Linked DNA regions of Oryzias latipes. The protein of the gene in region 2 purifies or fractionates together with the protein of the main gene of each other region. This does not show direct contact. Links are inferred from orthologs where the notes say so. Each region holds a gene or a part of one and is shown on either strand. Other genes may lie near its edges.

Region 1 (4,415 bases), on a different chromosome or scaffold from region 2:
TAAAATTTCATATCCTGTGGGATGACGGGCTGCAGAAACGGATCAGCCCAGATATCTGATCACCAAGAACATGAAGACGCAGGTCAGCAGCATGCCTCCAATCATGATGAGCTTATCTTGTGTGGCCCTCCGCTCTATGAACCTCATCACAGTGTTCGAAAGCCCCAGCATGTTGGCCACATCCAGCATCTTCTTATGGGTTCCCTGTGAAGAACCAGAACCACAAAAAAAAAAAAGGAATAAAACGTCATTTTCTATGGTTATTGGTTTTGCGAGTGCCAACACATTCCGGGCACGGCCAGTTTCTCATGGTTGAGGTTCAAGGCTATGGGTGGTGATCAGTCACACCCTGATAAGAGGACGTCTGAAGCCAAACCAGGAAGCCCATCTCCTCCCTGGAAACACGGAGTCACTCTGTGGCTGGGAATATGCTCAGTAACAATAAGGAATTTTGATCAAACAACCATGCGGGCTCCTTTCTGCAGCGCTCGCAGGCATTTTTTTTTTTTATAGTTTGGTAGGTTAGGGCTCCTTCACACAAACCTTGAGTGTAGATCTCTGATCTCTGAGGCCGTTGAGTATGCCACTGCCGCTGCCCAGCAGGTCATCCATTCCTCTGTGTGCGTTGTGCAAACTGCTGTTAAACTGCAGAGTCTCGTCAATGGGGATGGATGTATCTGCATCCTGTTAATCAAAACAACTGTTTAGCTTAATACTGACATTTTCATGGATTACTTTGTTTCCAGCATCAATATCCTGAATAAACAACTTTACAGATGTTTGCCGATTTTGTTGGACACTTCAAAGAATCTGAGTTTGTATTTCAGCCTTTTTTTCAGGATCTTATAACTTACGTTTGTGGTGAAAGTGCGGCTCAGCAGTTCCTCCCTCTCTCTTTCCTGCGCCTCTCTGGTATAGCGTCGATGTTGGAAGTTTTGTAGGGCGGTCCGTAGGTGCTGCACATCGTACTTCAGCTGGTCGACTCGTCTGAGAGACAGCAGAAAATTATTATTTTTTTTTTAATCAAACGACTGGTGTGTGTACGGGGGGTTTTATCTTTACCTTATCCGCTCAGCTGAAGGAAACTAATTTCTTTCTAGCTGGTTGTAGCTGAGAGAAATGCCATATTTGTAGGGTAAATTGAAAATTTTCATGACCTTTTAAAAATATTTTTACATTTGTGATTACTAATTTCTTCACTTAAAGAGTTTCTAACATGTTTCTTGTAGTGTTTTTCTGATGATATTAAAACAAGATTAGACTCAAAGAAATGTTTCTTTATTCAAATTGTTGGGAATCAGGAGCAGACGAAAAAATGAAAAAGAGCTTCTTCGTTACATAGAAAATACGCACAAGCTCCCTCCTCCGAGCTCTCAGCAACAAGAAGAGGAAGGGGGGGCGGGGTTACACCACGCCAATGATCCCACCCACACAATTCAGAGGCAACTTTTCTTCTGCCGCTTGCAGAAACTATGTCCCAGAAAACACAGTTTTTTTTTGTTATTTTTGGCTAAAAACAGCATAAACATAATTATAAAGACCATAGGGAACGCTTTTACAAAAGATGATCAGAGTGGATCTTTAAACACGGTGCAATGAGGTCTTCGTGTTCATCCCACCCGCTCAGAAATATTAGAAGTGGAATAAAAACATTTTACATCAGCTTTTGATTTGTTTCAATTTGTTTATCACTAGTTTGTCGCAAAGTTTGACTGTAGCTTTCGTGATTCTTTGGATAATAACATTTTTGCTGACTTCCAATCTCACGCAGTTGAAATGAAGAGTCCCTCCCAGGTCCAAGGCACTTGCTGGGATCACAGGAAAGCTCTGGGATGGGATAAACTGTGTCCCCCGAGGCCTGTTTACCCAGCTCAAAGATGAATCTGCTCGATGCAGCAGGAATGCTGGTGATGACGGGGCTTCTGAGGAAATGTTTTTATAGAGACTCGACGCCTCGGGGCAGGACGGGCTGCCTGTCTGGTCTTCTACACCCCTGTCACTTTTGGAGCTTTATGACCACAGTGACTCTAAACTTACAATTTGGCGTTCTGGCGGCGATTCGGTGGTTCCTTGCTGACCAGGATCTCAAGTCGCTCAAGCTGATTGAGGATCTGGTCAGTCCGGATCTGGAGTTCATTCTCTAGCACTTAAAATTGAGAAACAGAAGAAAACTTTTAAATCCCCCAATAATTGTGAAAAAAAATGACATTTATCCCAAGTTTCCCCTCCCAGATCAGCAGCTAGTAACAAAATGACCCTCCACAATGGACCTATGTCCTTCTTGGGAGAAACAACAAAGTGATGTCATCATATGTGGAAGGAACAAAGGTTGCCTGGCTCCTAACATTATCTAAAAGCCATGCCCTCTCAGCTTCTGTCATTGCTCCCACCCAACGACTTCCTGTGCCAGTGAGACCGGGACCAGCCTCGCCCTGGGCTGATGGGGTAGGCACCACCATCCACAGACAACGACCAGGCAGGAGCAATTCAACCCCCCGCTGTCCTGTTTGTGTGTTCAAAACATTAGCAATCAGCCAAAACAATGACAACCCCCCCCCCCCCCCCCCCGGACAGAAATAAACACCACAAGCAAACACACACCGAAAAGAAGGATGACAGATGTTAAGAACGGTCAAATGATCCATTCAGAAGAACTTACAGTGAACTGACTGACGGTCTGTCTTCTCCAGGTTTCCCATCAGACACTGAACCTCCTGGATTTGCCTAATCCAGCCAAAAACAAAACAGGTTAATAAAAAGCAACTAGCTCAATATTTGTCCTTTATTTTAAAAATACGTTTACTGATTAAAAAAAAAGAAAAGAATACGTATTGGTTATATTAAATTGTTTTATTTGGGGAAACATGTTAGCCTTAAAATTGTGAGCTAAAGTTAGCTAAACAGGTCTGCAATATTTCTACGGAAATACATTTTACTCACTTATTTGTTTGGTGGTAAAGCGTCTCCATTTTACATGTGTGACGAAGACCCTTTTTCTTGTATCGCTACCTTTTTTATTTTCTTTCTAGCGACCCTTATTCTGACAGCCGGCTAAGCTAGCTTACTAACGGTAGGGCAGTGTACACGTCATCAGCCAAGTATTTGTGTACGGAAGTGAGAAAGCGGAAGCTGAGCAGCTCCATAGTAACAGGAGTGCTCACTCTGTTTCAAAAAAACTACACAGAGTATTCTCTTTGACATTTATGTTTTCTTTTTTTAATAATCAAATTTAAAGCGGTAAAGCTGTTATTTATGGTAAATAGCATAAAAAGTGCACATTATCTGTGTTGCAACAAATTAGTTTCTATATTATCTTTGTTTAATGTTTATTATAAGTATTTAATGGTTAAAAAAAATAAAGAATTGGAAAATAAATTACTCATCAAATAACATTCAATCGTTTTTTAAGTTGAAAACTTTGATGTTTAATTTTATTTTTGGACTCTAGCTCTAGATAATAAGTCATTTTGTTTTTGATGATACACCAATTCAAAAAGTAAGTTGTGGGCAACATTTGTCATTGCACCTCTGAAAAGCAGTAGCTGACAAACCCTTTTGACCCACAAGCTTTAAGAGCAGGAGCATAATCTGTTGACATGTAGACATGTGACAGGAAAGACTGACATGTGTGTCCTGAGGCTACCTTTCGTCAGCTCTCACTGACTGGATCTAAGTGTTTTTTTTTCTTTAATGGGAGGATGTAAGAATATTTTTGTTTTTCCATCCAGAATTTTCCTTTTAACCTGCAATCAAAGACTCTAAAGTTAAGAAAATCAAACGTTTTATTTGCAAGATGAAGTGGTGGATCCCTTTGGAGAGGATGTCAGTGTGAAGAGAAAAGAGATTTGTGAGCTTATCACTTACAGGTTGGCTCTGACACAGAGTACTGTGTGAAAATAGCATGGTTGGATTTCCCAGAACATGTTGAGAAAAATATGACCAAACTTCCTTGGTGATTTAATGCAAGTAAAATCTTCCTTGGGCGCTGCTGGCACTTTATCAAAGCCACATCTCAATCAACTCAGGCCAGATCTCCATCACTATGGTGTCTGCTGATTTTCAAGGGTGTAACTTTTGAATAAATGCAGGGTAAGTAAAGTTCATGGAAGCATCCTTTGATAGAATTATCTGCAAAACATATTAAAAGCTCCTGTTTGTTTGTTTTCCTCATTCAACAATCAGACACCGACCCAGACAGTCTCCCATGGCAGCCTAATGGTACACAAGCTGATGGTTGTATCTTCAGGCTAGACACCTCAACAGTGGTCCTTTTTTCTACCCCCCACATGTCAGAAACCCTGAGATCTGTTCAAGCCACTTCTTGCTCTTGCTGCTCAACGTTCTTGGTTGTCATAACATAACTTTAGGGCAGCGACTGGATGTGCACAGCTTTAAACCTGCAGGTTAAAAAAACT
Region 2 (4,328 bases):
TATCTATCTATCTATCTATCTATCTATCTATCTATCTATCTATCTATCTATCTATCTATCTATCTATCTATCTATCTATCTATCTATCTATCTATCTATCTATCTATCTATCTATCTAATCTATCTATCTATCTATCTATCTATCTATCTATCTATCTATCTATCTATCTATCTATCTATCTATCTATCTATCTATCTATCTATCTATCTATCTATCTATCTATCTATCTATCTATCTATCTATCTATCTATCTATCTATCTATCTATCTATCTATCTATCTATCTATCTATCTATCTATCTATCTATCTATCTATCTATCTATCTATCTATCTATCTATCTATCTATCTATCTATCTATCTATCTATCTATCTATCTATCTATCTATCTATCTATCTATCTATCTATCTATCTATCTATCTATCTATCTATCTATCTATCTATCTATTCTATCTATCTATCTATCTATCTATCTATCTATCTATCTATCTATCTATCTATCTATCTATCTATCTATCTATCTATCTATCTATCTATCTATCTATCTATCTATCTATCTATCTATCTATCTATCTATCTATCTTATCTATCTATCTATCTATCTATCTATCTATCTATCTATCTATCTATCTATCTATCTATCTATCTATCTATCTATCTATCTATCTATCTATCTATCTAAGATAGCACAAGGGTTAAAGATAGGGTGAGGAGCTCGGTCACCTGCAGAGAGCTCGGAGTAGAACCGCTGCTCCTCCACATTGTGAGGAGCCAGTTGATGTGGCTCAAGCATCTGGTCCAGATGCAATGGTCACCTCCCTTGGGAGGTGTTCCTTGCATGTCCCACTGGGCAACAAAAATGGCGAGCAATACTGGAGCTATCCAGTTGTCCAGTTTTGATCCAGATGCCAGATCAGACAAGTAAAACAAAGACATACATGAATCCAGTCGACAACAAGTGGATCCATCAGAACTCAGCAGGGAGGTAGGTGCCAGTATTTTTGTCTGCTCCTGATTAACAACAATTGGAATAAAGAAACACTCAGAAACCCAATTTGAAGCCTAAATATCTTAATTAATGTTCGCCATCTTCCAACAAATGCCACAAGAACATGTTAAAACACTAAAAACACAATCTTCATCTGAGTGGGGTTTTAAATGGTGATTCTCTTGAACAATTTTCAAATAAAAGATGAGAAAAAGAACAACATTTTCTTTCTGAAGGCACAGTGACTTTATTCTGATTAGAAAACAGACAATGCAAATAAAGAAAAGTATTAAAGAAATAGCAACAGCAGAATTGCAGCTACAAACATGGTGTTTTAAGAGTGACATAATACTTAAATCCTGTTTCATGTGCGATGATTGGGTCTCGTAATTTAGAATTAAAAGAAGAAAGAAACACAATAGCAAAAATCTGGATTATTTATTCAGTAACAATGTAATTTTAGAAACTACAAAAACAATAAAAATAATAATATTAATTTGTCAAAAGATTATATTATTCAATATACCTTTTCAAAATGTGGAATAATATTTGGGTATTTAGTACCCAAAGGGATAAACGTACACTATTTTAGGAATCATTTACTTGATTTTTTTTTGTGGATTTTTTTTAGCTTTTACATTATTACATAGGATTTGTCCTTCTCGGCCACCGTATGATGTCGTGGCGTTTCCCTATGTGTAGAGACTAGACCTCTGATTATTTTTAAACTTTTCATTGTTTAATTCTTCGGAATATACTGTGGACATTTTCGGCTTCAGTGAGTAAGGATGAGACGCGCTGGTTTGGGTAAGAAACGAGTCTAAAACTGGGAAGTTTCAGATCGCTAGCCAGCTAACATGGTAGCTAGCATTAGCTAATGTTGTTTTCACTGGTGGATGGATGCAACACTCTGAGGCGTAGTTACATTTTTAATAAGGCTCTTGGCTTTATTCTCAGCATTTAATATTGTTTTTTGTTGTCTTGTGTAGGTGAAGGAGGCTCCGGGAATTATGTGGCGAGTGGCTACAGTGTTTATGAGGAGGAAAATGATCATTTACAGGAGGGACTGAGAGCTAAAGTCAGCGCCTTGAAAAGTGTAAGACCAGCTGCGACACAAAACTGTGCCTTCGTCTGTCACTATTCACTTGTTTCTGTTACCAATTTCTAGTTTTAAAAGCTATTTTACAAGTTTTACTTATCTAACAATCAATTCCTGTCTCTTGTCATTCCCAGCTGACTATTGATATTGGAACAGAGGTTAAATACCAGAATAAGATGTTGGAAGATATGGTGGGTTTCTCTTTGTATTTAAATGGCAAAGAAGTACCTTTACAGTTACTCTAAAGTCCTCACTCCTATGAAAAATGGTTTTAACATGTTCTTGTAGCAGCTTTCTCATGATGTATGGCATAAAAAGAAACAAAGATTAAACTTGTGTTTCTGAGTATTTCTTTATTCAAATTGTTTTAAATCGGGAGCAGACAAAAAATAAATCAAGCTTGAAAAAGAGTTTATTTTTGCTGTAGAAAATTGATTCTGGCTAAAAACAGCAGAATCATAATTAAAAGACAGAGGGACAATAGCTCAAAGAGTGGGATTTTAATAGTACCGACTTAGTAAACATTTTCTTGGATTTGAAGCGGTTCCTGATCCCCCCCTCATCTCTTCACAGGACTCGGACTTTGATTCTACAGGCGGACTGTTGGGAGCCACCATTGGCAGAGTAAAGCAGCTGTCCAGAGGGAGCCAGACCAAACTGCTCTGCTACATGCTGCTCTTCTGCCTTTTTGTCTTCTTTGTCCTCTACTGGTTCATCAAGCTGAGGTGATAAGAGCATCTTGTTGGACTTTGCCCCTTAGCTCCACGTCTTCATTCCCATTCACTAGCAGCTCTGACCTAAAAAAACACTTGTTCAATTGGTTAGGTGGGGATTTTTTTCTTTCGAGCATCATTTTGTTTCCTGATGTCCCCTAAATGAGCCATGAAAGGGCTTGAAATAGAAAATAGACAAGAAATAAACTTTGAAAGTGTTCATCTTTAACAAGGCAAATGACCCAGGAAAGCACCTTGTATACCATTTGTATACCTAACACATTAGTATTTGTGTTGCACAGCTACAGCTCAGTTATGATTAAACAAACAGGATCCACAGTCCAAGATACAACAGCTGCTGATGAGTTATTTTTTGTAAATGAGGTTAAGGTGGTTTGAGCTGTGGAATAATTAAACACAATTTGGTGTACTTATGTCAAGGAGGGAGTTGATATGGACAGGTTTGAACACAAGTACGGTAATTACAACTCATGTTGATGAGTTTTGGACAGCCAAATGAATTAAAGGCTGCCGATAGTCCTAAAAACCTAAAATCACAACTAAACAATTCAGTCTTAAATGCTGCCAGAGCAAAGTTTCCATAATAAAACACAATTTCAACATTGTTTTTTGCTATTTTAATTCTTCTGCCACTGATTTACAAACTATGAGCATAAACATTTGTTATACAAAATTATGTCAATCTTATTTCAACTGTTCAGTCCCATAAATGTGGACACACACAGTGCAGCACATAAGGGACACGTCTGTATTACATCACCTGACATTGTAAATCACCACAGAGACCTTCATTCTTGAGTAAAAATGTAAATAAAAACAGATTTTATGGCATCGTTTGTGTTTCCATGCTGGATGTGTTCAAAGCGTTTAACATAACTTCATCAATAAAAGAAGCAAACAATTACAAGAGATTTCCAAACTAATTTTTTTTTTACAAATATCTGAACAGGTCAGGATGGTTTAAAATTGCACTCTTGTATTAATTATCATCGTCTGAGCAGGAATCTGCTGCAAATGACATCACTTCCGGGGTAAAGTGTCCATGAACTTGCAGATTATTCCCAGCATCACCTCATCAGCCCCGGCGCCGATGGACAATAACCTGGAATCCCTGGAGGAGAGAGAAAAAAAGCAACAACACACTTCTGTAATTAACTGTCACTCAGGTGCTCATAAGTCCAGTCTTTGCATGAAAGTTCAACTTCAAGTCTCTAGTCTGTCAAACTTTAAATTAAACCGCAAATCTTAAGACTTGCAGTAAAAAAAATGAACATTTATTTGGTAATTAACTAGTAACCCTTGTGCTATTCTAGGCACTTTAATATTGGGAGTTGGGTCATCTAGACCCACTAGACAGTGCTCTGAACCTTTTTTCTTCAATGATTTGTGATCTTCACTGGTGTCCATGGATTAAATGAAATCTTTCCACCTTTGTCGTGGTAGGGAGAACACGTCAAAGTAAGGGTGGGGTCATCTAAGATAGCACAAGGGTTAAAGCAGACAGCTG

What was found.
Region 1: the proteins of bet1 (region 2) and gosr2 purify together in Homo sapiens (affinity purification with mass spectrometry; 3 studies listed by BioGRID and IntAct, with this or other methods). This does not show direct contact. The link is inferred for Oryzias latipes from reciprocal best matches to the Homo sapiens genes BET1 and GOSR2.

Annotation. Positions count from the first base shown.
Region 1 is NC_019866.2:6,916,515-6,920,929, reverse strand, and holds the start of gosr2 (Golgi SNAP receptor complex member 2), read right to left. Parts: upstream 3,113-4,415; 5' UTR 2,970-3,112; coding exon 2,941-2,969; intron 2,725-2,940; coding exon 2,660-2,724; intron 2,147-2,659; coding exon 2,038-2,146; intron 988-2,037; coding exon 855-987; intron 685-854; coding exon 544-684; intron 205-543; coding exon 43-204; 3' UTR 1-42. UniProt on the Homo sapiens protein: Involved in transport of proteins from the cis/medial-Golgi to the trans-Golgi network.
Region 2 is NC_019869.2:10,286,673-10,291,000, reverse strand, and holds bet1 (BET1 homolog), read left to right. Parts: upstream 1-1,634; 5' UTR 1,635-1,776; coding exon 1,777-1,795; intron 1,796-1,977; coding exon 1,978-2,084; intron 2,085-2,221; coding exon 2,222-2,278; intron 2,279-2,660; coding exon 2,661-2,816; 3' UTR 2,817-3,719; downstream 3,720-4,328. Other genes in the region: probable acyl-CoA dehydrogenase 6, read right to left, coding at 3,842-3,932. UniProt on the Homo sapiens protein: Required for vesicular transport from the ER to the Golgi complex. Functions as a SNARE involved in the docking process of ER-derived vesicles with the cis-Golgi membrane.